2 linked regions of the Struthio camelus genome follow. The protein of the gene in region 2 interacts with the protein of the main gene of each other region in a biochemical or structural test. Links are inferred from orthologs where the notes say so. Each region holds a gene or a part of one and is shown on either strand. Other genes may lie near its edges.

Evidence for each region.
Region 1: the proteins of LRRK1 (region 2) and BAG2 form a complex in vitro, tested with the Homo sapiens proteins (2 studies listed by BioGRID and IntAct, with this or other methods). The link is inferred for Struthio camelus from reciprocal best matches to the Homo sapiens genes LRRK1 and BAG2.

What each region holds. Positions count from the first base shown.
Region 1 is NC_090944.1:36,126,647-36,134,138, forward strand, and holds the start of BAG2 (BAG family molecular chaperone regulator 2), read left to right. Parts: upstream 1-4,427; 5' UTR 4,428-4,643; coding exon 4,644-4,792; intron 4,793-7,492. UniProt on the Homo sapiens protein: Co-chaperone for HSP70 and HSC70 chaperone proteins. Acts as a nucleotide-exchange factor (NEF) promoting the release of ADP from the HSP70 and HSC70 proteins thereby triggering client/substrate protein release.
Region 2 is NC_090953.1:4,466,027-4,473,629, reverse strand, and holds the start of LRRK1 (leucine-rich repeat serine/threonine-protein kinase 1), read left to right. Parts: upstream 1-4,590; 5' UTR 4,591-4,780; intron 4,781-7,603.

The DNA of each region.
Region 1 (7,492 bases), on a different chromosome or scaffold from region 2:
CATGCTTTCTAACTCTACCTGACCACCACCAACCCACTTTCTTTCATTTTAATGTTCTAATTTTCTGTACAGTGCATGCAGAAGTCTTGTAAAAAAGTTAAATGATGATGAGTCAGATCGGTACAAGGTTCCTATCTCTTTGTCGCTTAGTTCTGTGTGCCGTATTGTTTTAGATCCAACAGAATCTCTCTGTTGATCGTATTCAAAGAGGAGATGCTGAACAAATCAGTGTAACAGTTGCAGAAGTCACTGTAGCACTAAAACTTCATCCTTGCCTGGTTGCTTTTGTAGAGTTTAAAAATAATTTCTAAACATGTAATAATTTAAAGGGATGAGATTGGTTTACTGTGAACTACTTGTCTTGCATCATAGTGATATATATTTGGGTGATGGAATAATTTTCTTAGCTCATCAAGATGTACAGAAATGACTACTAGTGGACCTATAGTGGTCACATCATTTAAGTCTTAAGACACCTCCGTGGTAGGTCAATCTGCTAAATATTATGTAACATGCAAACCTTTACTGAATCTTTACCAAATATGGTTAAGTTTATAGAGGTATGAAGTCACGCCATATTCTTTCTTAAAAGGAAAGTGTTCTATCATGTGCTTATGCTGTCCTAACAATGTTTACAATGACTGCTGAAAGTTGGAAGGAGGTGAGAAGGATGGATGATGAATTGTCTTTACAATAATTTAGAAAAATTGGCTGACATTAATGCAAAATCCTTTCTGGCAATTCTTTCCAGTTAAGTAGCAAGACTTAAATGCAGACTATTAAAATCTGCGTTTGCGTGTTTCTTTGACAATTCTAAACTGCCCCCAAGTTTTCTGCAGAAATTTTAATTCAAGAATTAGAGCTCAGTTTTAACATTGTGGGTCAAATAATATGATTCAACATACTGTAAACATGGGTGTAAACAAGCCAGAAAATTCATAGTAAGTGGCAAGTATGTGCAAAGTTTGTGCCCAAATGACAAAGTTCTGTGTGTGCAGAAATTTAAATGTAAAGTTCCCCTTGTAAATCTGTGCAAGTTTCTTTTCACTGACTCCAATATACTACTTTCTGGGAGTCTTCTAGTGGTTTTTGCTGAGAGCTCTTATCTAAAAGCTGCCTAGCATCCACAGCTGTAAAGAATTCACTGGGTCATTTGCTAAGCAATTTTCCTCTCCATGAGGAAAAGAACTACTCCATGCCCTGAAATGGTCGTACTGGCTTTTAGATTGATTCTGAGATAGAGGAATGAGGCTTCCAACAGCCTTGGGAGTGCAGGGCTTGCCTGCACAGTAAGATGATGGTAACGTGATGGGCAAACACAGTGCTAGTGTTAATTAGCGTTAGTAACAATAGCAGAAACAACACAGTAGCACAAGTTTGGCAGGTGCTAAGGGGCCAGTCTACTATAATACTAAGTACAGCTTTTGATAGAAAATCATACCCTAAAACTCATGTTGGCCCGTCTTTGCTGCTGTTGTACTGTGCTTGGGAGACTGAATGCTAGCTGTGGTTGGCTGCCCAAACCACAGCTGCATCCTCATGGTATGTACAGAAGTTGTGTTTCCACAATGCCTATGTACAAAGAAGATTCTCCAGATGAAGTTCCTGTAGAAGGGAAGAAAAGAATCCAACATGGCGTTTCTTGGGTGTGGACTTTCTCTTACATCCTATTCCATGGCAGCTCATAGGTAAGTGTTAGGGTATGTCACAAGGTATGGGGGGTTTGGAATAAGGTGAAACTGAAACTAAGATGGTATTTAGCAGTGTGACAAGTAGTACTGCTTTTGGTGTAGATCATCTGACTTTTACAAATGTCTTAGGTGTCCACGGCCTGGGAAGGTATATCTTTTTGCTACCATAAAAGATCTTGTGCGCATGAATGCGGATTCTCTGCCAGTCGCTCTGTTCTGCAAGGTGCGTGCATCTTTTATGATACCGCCATTTAAATGAGGGACAGCCAGCTACTTGGTCGCTGAGCCTGCAGTACAGAAGGCCTGAGATGCATACTTTCTCCATGTCAATCTCCCCATGGGTGCCTGCAGCTGGAGCAGGGCTGTGCAATCCAGCCGGGTGAACATAGCTGCAGACTAGACTAGGAGAGTGAGGTTGTCGCAGCAGCAGCAATCCTGACCCAGACATCACCTTTCTTTGCCACAAATCATAAGGAGGAGGATGAGATCCGTGCTGTTTCTGACAGAGCTACTCTTCCTCCTCCCGTTTTCTTGCAGCCCTGAAGGACCTAATTCTTGCCTTTTGTGTCCCCTAACTTCTTGTCCTAATTCAACTGTGAGTCACTTCCTTTCTCCAGAGACTTGACTACCATCTTGCTAGCCCAGCCACCTATTATTTCGGGAAAAGTGGTGACAACTGCTCCTTTATGTATCTCGGCAAGGAAGAAAGCACCTGAGGGAAAATAGGGGCAATCTACCCCCCTCTTGGGTAGGAAAAGCAGTTTTTGCAATCCTTTCTAGTTTTTAAATGGCAATTTATTCTCGACTGCACAGGCAGCAATGATGGGTGAGGTTTGTTTCAAACAACTATTTCTGCTTTTGAAACTCATTTTGCTTCCACTGTTTCAGCTCTTCTCAGTTCCTGGATGAAATGCTGTTTTGCCATCAAAAAAGACACAGTCATGTGTGATACAACTGCACACAACTAACAACCGTTGTGCCTCTTCATTTCATTGCACATTCTACCTTCAAAAATTTAAAACCCTGTACAAGGAAAAAAAATCTTTCTAACCATTTGGCTAGTAGCAATTTTGGTTTTTGCTTTTTAAACACGACCTAATTAATACTTCATAAATTAGCATGGGAGGAATAGAAGGATCCTAGGAAAAAAGTTTGCAATTTGTGTCACATTAGTCCCCATGTTTCTGTTTGTATATGTTTGGGGGTAGGAAGTAGTTTTTAATAATTTTCTGAATAAACTATAGTGAGATGGATTGAACAATCGCTGAACAATGAAATTATTTCTATGAGCTCACAGCCATAATCCTTACCTACCCAGCCATGTAAAAAAAAAACAAAATTCAGACAATTAATTTAGCAAGAGAAGTGGGACATGATATCATCTTGAACGGACAAGCCTGAGAAAATAGCTATAACCAGAGTAAGCATTCAAAACGTTATCCCTGTGCAATAAAAACCCTGTTAACTGGATGCCAAAAATTGGTCTGTTAGAGAACTGCAGTATTTGCCCAAACGTGAAATTAGGGATAAGCAAATTCCTTTTTAAATAATCACAGTAATGGCAAGTAAGAATTGCTGGAGCCAACAGGAATCTGCTGTACAGAAGTACAGGTTCAAGAAGTATAAAAGATTTCTTTCTGTGGCTTAAGTTTCCTAAGTTAGTATGATGTGCTCTTGTGAGACAGAAGTTATCTGGTTTATACAGAGAAGTTAAATATGATGTGGAAAAAGTCATTACAAAATGTAGATCCACTACCTTTGCCATCACAAAATAAGTTTTTTTTTTCTTTTGGCACAGCAAAAAACAAACAAACAAACAAACAATTTTCTTTCTAGTAAGCCTTTTTGTATTACCTTGGACAAAAACGTTTAGTAGAACTGTTTTCTCTTCTGTGGCTAACCAGATGACTTAGTGTCAGAAAGATGTACTGTATCGATGCAAGTATCTTAAGTATCTTTTTCAAGACTGCTGTTCAGGTTCTGTTTCTGCTTGTAGCAAGTGCTGTGGGTGCTTTACTCTCATCAACACTTTTTTTCTCCTTAAACAGGCTTCTGGATTTTCAAGGCACTTCTAGCCTTCCTCTTCTCATTTCTTCTTTACGCCTTCAGGAGTTTCATCTTTGTATTTCCAGCTGTCTCTTTTGATTGATATACATATATATATTTAATTAGAGAAAGACCAAACCGATCAACCATATACAATAGTCTTGGAAAGTAAACCCTCATACCATCTAGGTATCTAGGCTACCATCTAGGATCAGGTTAATATAGGTGTTAAAAACCTTACCCTTCCTTGGGCTCTGCTTTAGCGAGAGCCAAGGAAGGCGGGGCTGTGTCGGGGGGCCGCAGTGGCTCCCCAGTCCGCGGAAAACTGTCGGGGAAAAGCAGGGCTTCGGCAGCACTGCCCTGTGCTAGCGTAGGTGGTGACTGGGCAACGCTTTCAGACACCGGTGCAGCACGGCATGCAGGACAGCGTTTAGGTTTCGGGAGGGAAAACTCTTTTCTCTCTGCGGATTTAATTAAAACTCGTGACTTAGCTGTAGCTCCTTGATTCATCAATAAATTACAGCATGCGATAGCCTCCGCGTTTCTGCTGAATGCGCGATGTACGGAACAGGACCCGGCCAGGGGTGCGACACGCTCCTCGCCCCGGGGTTCCCGGGACGAGACGCCCCCTCCCCTCGGCCCGGCTCCTGCGGGGGGCCAGGGCGGGCCCGGGAGGCGGGGAGGGCGGGCGCCCGCCCGCGGCGCTGCGGGGCCGCCGAGGTGAGGCGAGGTCCGCGGCGCGCTGCGTGAGGCGGCGCCTCTGCGGCCGCGGAGGCGGGGTGGCCGCGGGGGCAGGCGGCGGGCGGGCTCCTTCTTTGGCCATGAGCGAGGTGCCGGCATTCGGCCGCCGCCGCCTGCGGGACGCGGGGAGGGAGCGGCCGCGCGGAGGAGCCGCCGGCGAGTGCTATGGCCCAGGCCAAGATCAGCGCCAAAGCCAGCGAGGGGGCGCAGCAGCAGCAATCCGGCGGGCAGCTCCGCGGCCGCTTCTACCGCTCCACCTCCATGGCGGACCGCTCCAGCCGCCTGCTCGAGAACCTGGACCAGCTGGAGCTCAGGTAGGCGGCCGTGGCGGGCCGCTCGGGGTGGCGACGTCCGGCTGCGCGGCCAGCCGAGGCGGCAGCCCCGGCCGGGCCGGGCCGTCCCCGCCGCCGCGGGACCCGGCTGGGGCCCCTCAGGATGCCGGCGTTGCAGCCGTTGGCGCCCCCCGCGAACCGTTGCGCCCCTCCCTCCTGGCGAGCCGTTGGCGCCCCCCGCGAGCCGTTGGCGCCCCTCCCTGCCCCGAGCCGTTGGCGCCCCTCACGAACCGTTGTGCCCCCTCCTCCCTCCCTCCCCCGAGCCGTTGGCGCCCCTCGCGAGCCGTTGCGCCCTCCCCCCGCAGCCGTTGGCGCCCCTCGCGAGCCGGGGAGGCGCCGGGAGGCCGCGGCCCGGACCGAGGGGCAGGTGGTCAGCTCGGGGCGGCGGAGGCGACGCTTTCTGCAATCATCAGTGCCGGAAAAAAGACCCCCCCCCCCGCCCCAAGGTTGAAAGTGACAGTTGGTGCTCGAAGGCGAACTAGCGCGGCCGGACGCTGGTCAGGGAAGGCGCAAAGCAGCCTGTTTTGTTTTGTTTTTCCGCGTGTTCCCCCGCCGAGCCCGGAGCTCGCTGCGCGAAGCCGCTCCGCCGCCCTGCGGCGTGGAGAGCCGGCGGCGCCGGGCGCTGTCGCTGGGGCCTCGGTGCCTCGCAGCAGCCTCCGAGCCGCCGCCGAGCGCTGGGAGGGCTCAGACCGCCCCGGAGCGCCGCTGCCTCGCCGGTCCGGGCGCTTGTTACCCAGGTCGGTGCCGGCCTTCCTGCTGAAATCCAGTAAATACCTGAGCTCTGACAGGAATAGCCATTCTGCAGCTTAATTGTGTGTGTGTGTGTGTGTTTCTTAATTAATTCCGAATATGATCGGTGTTTCATTGTTGTGTCAGGACGCGTCTTGCCTCCTCTTGTTATTTAGCGTTCCCCAAATAACCTATTTAAATTTTTTTCCCGTTTGGTCGTATAAGAGATGTTTCCATGCCTTTGATCAACTTCCTTGTCTTCTCAGCTCTCTCTTAATTATAGTGTCTTTTCTGAGGTGGATAGATCCAGTCGGTAATGTGAGCGTACCACTGATTCACCTAATGGCATTGAAATTTCAACACACCCTTTGTTCATTACAGCTGCATATTGATCAGAGGCTTTCGCAGAACCACCCATAATGTTTCTAGGTCTTTCCCAAGTTGCTGTAATTAAGAGCTCTGTGAGATACAGAACTTATGTTTTTCCTTTTCTATGCGCATTACTTAGCACATAAAGTTCACTCTTGATTAATGCAATCATATTATTCTTTCACGTAGGTTGATTAAATCTCTTTGAAGTTCTTCACAGACTTCTTTGGATTTGACTAACCAAAGTCACTGTCTGCAAACTTTTAGTCTCACTGCTGACGTCCTCATCCGGTGTGTGAATATATAATTACAAAATATTGTGCTAAATAAGCAGTAAAACTATGCCAAAATGTTTTTTTTTACATCTGCTGAGCAACTTAGTGCAATAAAACAGACACTGTGGTTAAGCAAAAATTAAACCCAAAATTAAAGTTTTCAGTTTGTTTTGGGTCTTTCAAAGAGGCACATTTCTAACTGCAAAACTCTTACAAAAAGAGTTAAACTATTCTGAATACAGTCAATTAAGTTTATTTTTGTGTTTTATTTATGTGTAAGTAATCAGCGTGCCTAATTTGAAAACCATGTGAATGGCAGGAGGAGGAGCTTCCATACTTCTTCTCCAATGTGTTTATTTTAGCTATAGTCCCTTGAGATGTTACTTGTAAATATAATAAGTGAAAATTTTGTCAAAGTGAACTATAGTCTTTAATTAACCCCTTTTACATTCCTCATTTGTCAAGTTGCTTAAGCTTGGCTGAACCCCTCAGCAACCCTCATTCCCTGAGTTTTCTGATCTTAAACAGCCTTCTCGTGTCTATGTTCCCATCCACCACGAGAACTTTTTTCCCAATGATAACAAGGTATTTTTGTCCCATATCTGCTGACCTGCTGGTACACCACTGTAGGGGTGTGTAGTAGACTCCCTCTAGGTGTTTGCAGAGTAGTTCTTATTTAAATCCCACTGGAAAGGGGGATTAATGTAATTGGAGTGGCATAGCCCTTATCTGGGAAGGAGGTAGCACTATACCAGTATAGCCGTACGTATGTGGCCATATAACCAGGAGCGTGCATTTCACAGCCTGGAGACAGTGACTGGAGAGGGGCTAAATCCCCTCAAACATTCTTTCTCTGTACATCAGTGCTTGGTTAATTTGCCCTCAGTCACGAGGAGCAAAGTATGACTTTTATTTGTAAGTGGAGAAACATATTTGAACAACGTATTAATTGCTGCTGTGATTTGAACAACAGTAGTGGAGAAACAGAACTGCAGAAGTGTTTGAGCGTGTCATTCTTCACCCCTGGATGGTTTCCCCGTTCACTCGCTGTGAGGACAAGCTCCCAGAGGTGGGAGGTAGCGAACTGAAATGAAGGTCAGAGGCAGAGGTATGGTCGTGCAGGACGAAGCTGCGTAGCTCTCAAGGAGTTAGTCCGACCCCACGAAGCGGCGGTGCAGGGCAGGTGGTATTGTGCTCAGCGTTTGTGTTGTTCCTAAAGGCTTGGCCCTTTCTGTTGCCCTGGCTGCCCGCAAATGCCAAGAAATGTCAGCAGCAGTTGGAAGCAGGACCAGAGTTTCTCTTTATGAGT
Region 2 (7,603 bases):
GTTTTAGATGGGAGTGTAAGCTTTCACGAAAGGAACTGTAAAGCAATTCTGTTTGAAAGAGCTATCTTGGTCTCTCTAAAGATACTTGCATCCCCCATATTGGTGATATTCTAGCCCTGAATGAGGTTTATGGAAGTTTCTTAGATGAATCCTTTGGGGCCAGTATTTCACCCAATGTAGCTAGACTTTAAAGTGTCCTATGAACTAGATGTTTTGCTGTACATGCATACACGTGCTGCACATGCAAGTTACTGACTTGCTAGCCCCTCTGGCTCCAAATGAGTCACAACGGTATCTCAAAGCTTCGCTATAGCACTTTCTGCAAGAGGATTTTGCACTGTACTTACCGTGATGACACAGAGTTGAATGCTAAGCATGTAGCATGGTAGATACCCCATGGAAAACATCCACGGCACACAGACCCAAGCCCGTCCTACTGATCTGAGGGCAGGGAGCAAAAGTGCTGCAAAAAGCTGTCTTGCTGTGTCTTGCTCTGTCACTTTCAGACTGTGTGGACATCTCATTTTTGAGCCAGAGCTAATTATGTGAGTAAAACTTACAAGTTATCCTCACTGCTTCTTTCTCCCTTACGAGTGTAGCTTAAAGTAGATTTCTGGAAGCACAGTATGAAAAGGCAGGTGCTCCTAAGCATATACTGAATGCTAAAGAGGTGGGTGTACAAACCAGTTACCGTGGAATAAGATGTGGCCAGACTTAAATGTGTCAGCAGCTCTGCAGCAATTGTCCCTGTGAGTCCTATCATCTTGTGGCAAACGGAGTAACTGGTCCTTCACTGAGGAATAAACTACCTTGCATTCCCTCGTTTACAGTTGTATAAGCATGCACACAAATAGCATCCATGGAGCGGCTGTCACACTAAGTTCATACCTTAGTATATCCTGCAGTTAACTTCTTTGCAGATGTTACTTACTGTGGGCTTAAGGAAAAGCCATATGCTGTCTTCAGTTCCTGGGTTTGCTACTTCCCTCACCCCTGATACTGTACTGAAGAACCACTGGCAAACCTACAGGAAGCTCCATGTCGATGCGGGCTGTAAGTACGTGGTAGGTAGTGGGGTCAGCTGAGTGGGAACTTTGGCTGATCCCTTTGGGTTCGTCCTCTAAGAGCAAACTGATGCATGTTCCTTAGTGAATTATCTACAGATCGCTATGGAGCACTGGTAAAGATCATTGCTGGGAGTTTTCCGGGTGTCAGGGCTTGAAGCAGAAATGCAGGTCTAGTCTGTAGTCCCTGAAGCAAGCAGGGATTTAACCAGTAATTTCCTCTGATCAGAGATGTACCCAGTCAGTACAAGTGCTGTTGCATGTGTGGACCTTTTTTGGAGGGGGAAGGAAGGTGGGTGGTGATGAGTAAGGAGAATGTTTGCATGGGCCTAAACTTCCTTATTAGTTAGTGAACATTGAAACTGCACTTCAACACTGCTTAATTTCTCAAATGACATACCTCCAACAATTGTGTACAGCTGAGTGCCTGTCTTCCGGTGGATATGTGAGACAGGGCTTCCACAGGTAAGTCTCCCCATCTGGTGAAGAAAATGTCCTGCCTACCCCATGAAAGGCCAAATGGGAAAACTGTAAATAAGCTTCTATTTTTGTAATACACTTAGAGTGCAAACATCTTCTCAGACAAACATTTTACTTTTGCCAAGTTGATGGTTTTCTAGGGCTGCAGTCAGACAACAGGGAGGCGAGGCAAATAGTAAAAGGCTGGTTATTTTGATGTAGCTTCTATATTCATTTTTGATAAACAGTGGTTGAAATGGAAATCATCTGGTACTCTTAAAATCCTAGTAGTCTGCCTTTATATGTATAATGTATATTTCACCTCTTTTTTTCCCCTATCAAGTTTAAAAAAAAAGTCAATGTATCTCTTATTGTATAAATCAGGGTTTGACTCTACACACTGAATTATCTAAGTTATATAACACTAGACACTAACTTTAAAGTAACCCCTTAGAGGGTATATATTCTTTCATTGCACAGTAAGGCTTTCATATGAAATACTACTTTTTAAAGAAAAGAACTATATTTATAAATTAGGATACAGTTAATCTAATGTATTTTTATAGTTAAAGGTACATGGAAATGCTATGTTTAAACCTCATGTATATATTTAGAATATGGGTATCTTTTTGTAATAGTTCTCTTGTTCCTAATAAATGTTTAACTTTGTGGTATAGTTTCTAAATACTGTATTCTGGTATTGCCTAGGAAGGATGACTGAAAGGGACACACTTCTACTGACTTTACTCGTTTTAACAGAGAAGTAACTGTAATCCTTTTTTATGTACGCTGATTAGTGCCTTAAGAAAATTCTGGCCCCTCTAACGCAAGTGTTAAGACCCCTTCCATCAGCGCCCCCCCCTTCCACTCGACTCAGTCCTCCTGTCTGTTTTTCATTTCATCTCTGAATTTGGCCCATTGCGACACTAAAAGCAAACACTGGAAAGGGTTAAGGTTTCATGCTTCTGAAACAAAATGGCCCTGTATTGCTCTAGTTGCAGGGGGCTCTTCTCAGAACAGCGCTCTGTCTGTTCCCCTCGAGTCAGTGAGCCAGCGGGATTCCCCAAACAGGAACGTGCCCTGGGCTCACAAGGGGCGATGTAACTTCAAGATACCTTCCGCACATCGCAGGACTGAATGCAGAGTGTGTTTGTGCATCTGTGGATGTGGGGATTCAGTATCTCACTGGGGGACTGAGAAGGAATCTGAACTTGAATTCACTTCTGCATTTTGTGAAGAATAGCCTATTTTAAAAAAGGCAAGGGAAGTAAAGGGCTGAAGTGTGGTCAGTGCTCTACAAACAAAAGCTAGAGCGTGTGTTTGTTAGCTTATTATCTAAGCAGTTGCTTTTGTTAAGTTGTGCCATTTCCAGTAAACGGGGTGGGGGAGGTGAGGGAGCAGGGTTGCAGCTGGCAGGGGCAAGCACAGCTTCTGCCAGTTTGAAGTAGGAGGGATCCTTCTCCCATTCTTGGGGTGAGCCTGAAAGGCAAGGGGCTGGGGACCACCCTGCCAGATGAGGCTCCTTGCCTCGGTCCGGCTTGCTAAACCCTGTGAGACGCATCCCTCACTCTCATGACTCTGCTCCACCCTGTCCCGTTCCTATCCAATTTCCCTCATCTGCCACGCGGACGGCAAGCGAGAACGCACTGATATCGTTGCCTTTCGTCCGGCATTCACTGCTCGCATCTGGTAACACGCGTGTGAGAAAAATACCAACCGCTGTCAGCTCCCTACCTAGGCCAAGCCAACCCCCTTGAGTTTTTCCTGCACTTGCAAACGGCATCGCTCAGAAGCTGTGACACTAAACATGGAAAAGGTGAAGGCTGGAGATGCAAAGAAATGATTGTGAGTGACATAATCGATGGAGGCATAAGCCAGGGAGCCTGGGATGAAATTTAGAAAGGAAAAAAAAAAACCAAGTTTTTTTAGCCTGACTGTCTGGAGAAATTCTCGTTCGGGGAAATGACAGTGTTTATCAAAATAAAGGCAAAACTAAGTGATGTTAGTGGTTTTTCAAACAATTGGGTGGAAAAGGCTGCAAGAAAGGTCTGGATAAGAGCCAGGCTGTGAGGCGTAAAAGACAGCAGCCCGGACAGAAGGGCGCCAGATGGGTAACACTGCTAGGGCTGCAGCTAGAAGCGGGGTTCACGGGCACTCGAACCCAAGTGAAAGCATCGACGAGGACCCATCCTCTCTGTCTATCTCCACAATCACAGCACGAGAACACCCTAGGACAAACCTCAAGACTAGTCAGAGGATGGATATGGCTACTCCCATCCTCAAGCGATCATCGGAGATCCCTTTCTTCTGTGGGGCCAAGGAAGAAAAAAGCTGTGTAGGTAATGTAAGGAGTCGTCACGAACAGTAAAATAAAGGGCACGCAAAAACGGTGTTCTCGTAGCTGGTCCAGTGGGTGGGGAAGAAAAAGCCCCATCAGGCTTGGGAGAGTTTCCTGGTAGCAGGAGATGAAGGGCTATGCGATGGGGAGCGCAGCGAGAGCGTAACGCCTGCAGAAGAGAGGGGGCAACCTTGCTTTGTTTTTCCAAAAAGCGGTAGGCTTCTTCCCCCAGCCGGGAGAGGAGCAGCTTGCAAAGACACAATCTGCGATTAACTCCGCTGGCGCTAGGGCCGGGCCTCAGCGGAGAAGCAGACCCAGAGAAGGGATCCGCGCGAGGGCCGAAGGCAGCGCCAAGAGCTCCGAGAAACATGCGGGACGCGACACGGGGGGCTGCGGTGACGGCGACGCCACCCGAGGGACCTGCTGGGGCTGAGAGACGCGGTCCTGCTTCCGACCCCGACAACTCCAGACAGACCTTTCCGGGGGGGGGGGAGGAGGGGAACAACACAAAACACAACAAAACCGAACCCCAATGGCGTGAGCCCGCGTAGCAGCCGCCCGAAGAGGGCAGCTCGCTGACGGGGTGAGCGCGTCCCGTCGCGCCGAGGAGCCGCAGGCAGCGGCCGACCGCGCCGCCGCCGCCGGGGCCGGCACAAGATGGAGCCCCGCAGCCCGGCCAGGGCCCGCGCGGAGGCCTCTGGGACGGCGGCGGCGGCCGTGGTGGGGCCCGCGGGCGGGCCCTGACCCCGCGCCGGCGGGCCCGGTGGCGGAGGAGGCGCCGCCGCGCTTCTGCCCCCGCTCCCTTTTCCTTCCTCCCTCCGCCTCCCGCGCCGCAGAGCGACGAGGCGGGCGGCCGGCGCCGGAGGAGGAGGAGGAGGAGGAGGCGGTGACGGCGGCGCAGGGACCCCGCAGGCAGGAGGTAGCGCGGGCGGCACCTGCCCCGCGCCGGGGCTGCGCTGAGGGGGCGCGGGGTGCGCCGGGCGGGCTGCGAAGGGCGGGGGGGGGGGCACCAAAAGGGTTTAAAAAAAAGGAAAAAAAGCAAAGAGTTTAGACGGAACTTGGGGGGAAGCGGGCGTGCTTGGGAGCCGGCGATGGGGGGAAAGGAAATACTTGCGAGGAGCCGTAAGGAAAAACTTCCTTTTATGTCCGGGCGCCGAGCGGCGGTGGCGGCGGCGGCGTGTAACGCGCAGCCCGTTGCCGCCTTCCTGCCGCCGCTGCCCGCCGAGCCACCCGGCTCCGCGCCCTCCCTCCTCCTCCTCCTCCGCAGCTCGAGGCCGCCCCGGCTCCCTCACGCCCTTCGCCAGGTGCTCGGCAGCGAGAAAACCCCGCGTTGGGGTTTTCTTTCGCCTCGTCGCCAGACGGGCGCGGGGGCCTCACGCCGGAGGACGAGCGGGAAGGGAGCTTGGCAGGCCGGGTCCGGTTTGGGAGCTTTCTGCAGCCGTTTCCCGCCCTCCCGAGGGCAAGGATGCTGTATGCCTCCTTCGCCGTCCGCCCTGTGGAGGAGGGAGCGGCGGTTCTTCTTCCGCGCGGAGCTGCCGAAGGCCGCGGCGCGGCTCGGAGGTTCGCCTAGCTGCCCCTAGCAGGGAGGTCCCCGCGCGAGGCGGTGGGTTACGCCGCCGTCAAACGGAGCGCTTCAGCCTCCAGGCGCGGCTTCGGCCCCGCGCCTCTCTCTCGACGGCGCAGGAACGAGCCCGCGGGCCGTCGGCGACGGCCTCGGCCGCCTGCTCCGGCGCGCGGCGTTGCCCCGCGCGTCTTAACGCAGCTCCTAAGGCTAAGTGGACCTCTCGAGAAAGAGTAGGTGGTTTGAGTAAAGGACTTGTTTCTGGAGGGTTTCCCCCGATTGGGAGGTGACCTCGGGTAAGCTGTGGCGTGTCTGGGTGCCTGACCGCGCTTCGATGCGCGTGCAGCAAGCCTGGCTTGGCTGGAGGAGCTGAGAGGAGGATCTCGAGATGGTACAGACACGGTCGGATATGCTGGGGAGCGCGCGGCGGGGACGCTCGGAGAGCAGCTTGGGTCCAGCTGTCCTTTTTCTGTTTGCATTCGGGACCACCTTACCTGCAGAGCCGCCCAGGGTGTGCACGCGTCCCACCGGGGCCTGGGCTGCCAGCCCTCCTCACCCGGACGATCTGCAGCTGGGGGTGACGAGCCAAGGAGTAACAGGAGCCTTAACTGAGCTCTGGGAAGTGCTCCACAATGAACGATGCTACCCGTGGAAAATATCTTCCTTAGAAAAGCAGACATTAACTTCTCTAGACGTTAGCTAAAAGCCAGCAATAATAGCGCCTCAGGAGAGAAATTGGGGCTGTGTGAAATGGGATGTAAATCAGCGTTGGGATGTATTCCTTCTCCGTCCCGCTCCTTCCAAATGGGCTGCCCAGCCTGTAGGATCCCAAGTAGTACGCTGTTTTTTCAGGAGTTCTCCGTCCCTAAATCAAATTTAAATGTTTTTTGCAGGTGTTACAGCTGAGCTCATATTGTTGGTAACTTTGGGTAAAAGCACTTCAGGGATGGTTTTTATTATCTAAACAAAGGTAGTGAAATACAGAGATGCACAGGCAGTACTCCTTGCAGGGGTGCTTTGTGGCAATAATACCTTTATGGTTCAGGCGTTTGGTGTGCTAGTCACAGTGAAAGGGGACTGGTTATCACAGATTCACAGCACGGTTGGGGTTGGAAGGGACCTCTGGAGATCATCTAGTCCAACTCGGGACAGGTTGTCTCTGGGCAACCTGTTCCAGTGCTCAGTCACCCTCACAGTGAAGAAGTTTTTCCTCATGTTCAGACGGAGCTGCCTGTGGTTCAGTTTGTACCCGTTACCAACGTCACTCCCATTATCTTTCCTGAAAGTTTTTTGCTTTCACTACGTATGAAGCTGGGTAGAAATCCTGAAATTGGGAGTGTTTTCAAACCTCCGTGGTGCATACTGACCCCAGTCCGGTATTTCTCCCACGATCGCTGCAGGTGTGCACAGCGTGCCCTAGCTGTACCGCGAGGGAAGGCCACGCAAAACCCAGCATCTGCCAAAAGAGCTATTCTGTTGGCCTTTGCATGGGGACATATTCTTTTTTACGGTACTTGCTCAGCGCATTTACAGTGAGGGTGCAGAGAGGGCAGCTGCCAGCGCTGGAAACATCATGTCCCCTCCGTTGTCAGGATAAACGGCCGGGGCAGCTTTTGGGCGGCACAAACAGCACAGTAGCAGTCTTATCTGTGCTCGAAAGGGTTACAGCCTCCCGTGAGACCTCCGTGGCACCTCCACGCTGTCCATCACGCCAGGGCTGTCCTGAGAGATGAGCCACTGCCGCCATTTTCCGTGACGGGGACAGAGAGAGGGATGCTCTGTTGCTGGCGTGCAGCGGGAGCTGCGGCCATCCGGCCCACCGAGGAGGAGGCGTTTGGCTGTGGGGTGCGTGCGAAAGGCTTGTGTGGAGTCTGATCCGGGCAGCTCAACCTGTGTTATTTGCAGCACCCACCTTTGAAAAGCACTCACCTTTTTTTCCTGCCTTTGAAAAGCACGAAAGAACCACAAACTGCAGCCGGTGGCTTCCTCCACATGCAGGAGGCAGGGGCGTGCGTGGGGCGGTTTGGTTCTCGCTGCTGGCCACCACAACGCAAGGGTCATCAGAAACTGAATTTTACCATACCTGCACCCAAAGCGCAGATGTTCGCCTAGAAACTACTGATAGAGGGTTGGGTGATTTGGTAACGTTGTCAGCTCGTTGTTAAAACCCTATTTAATGGG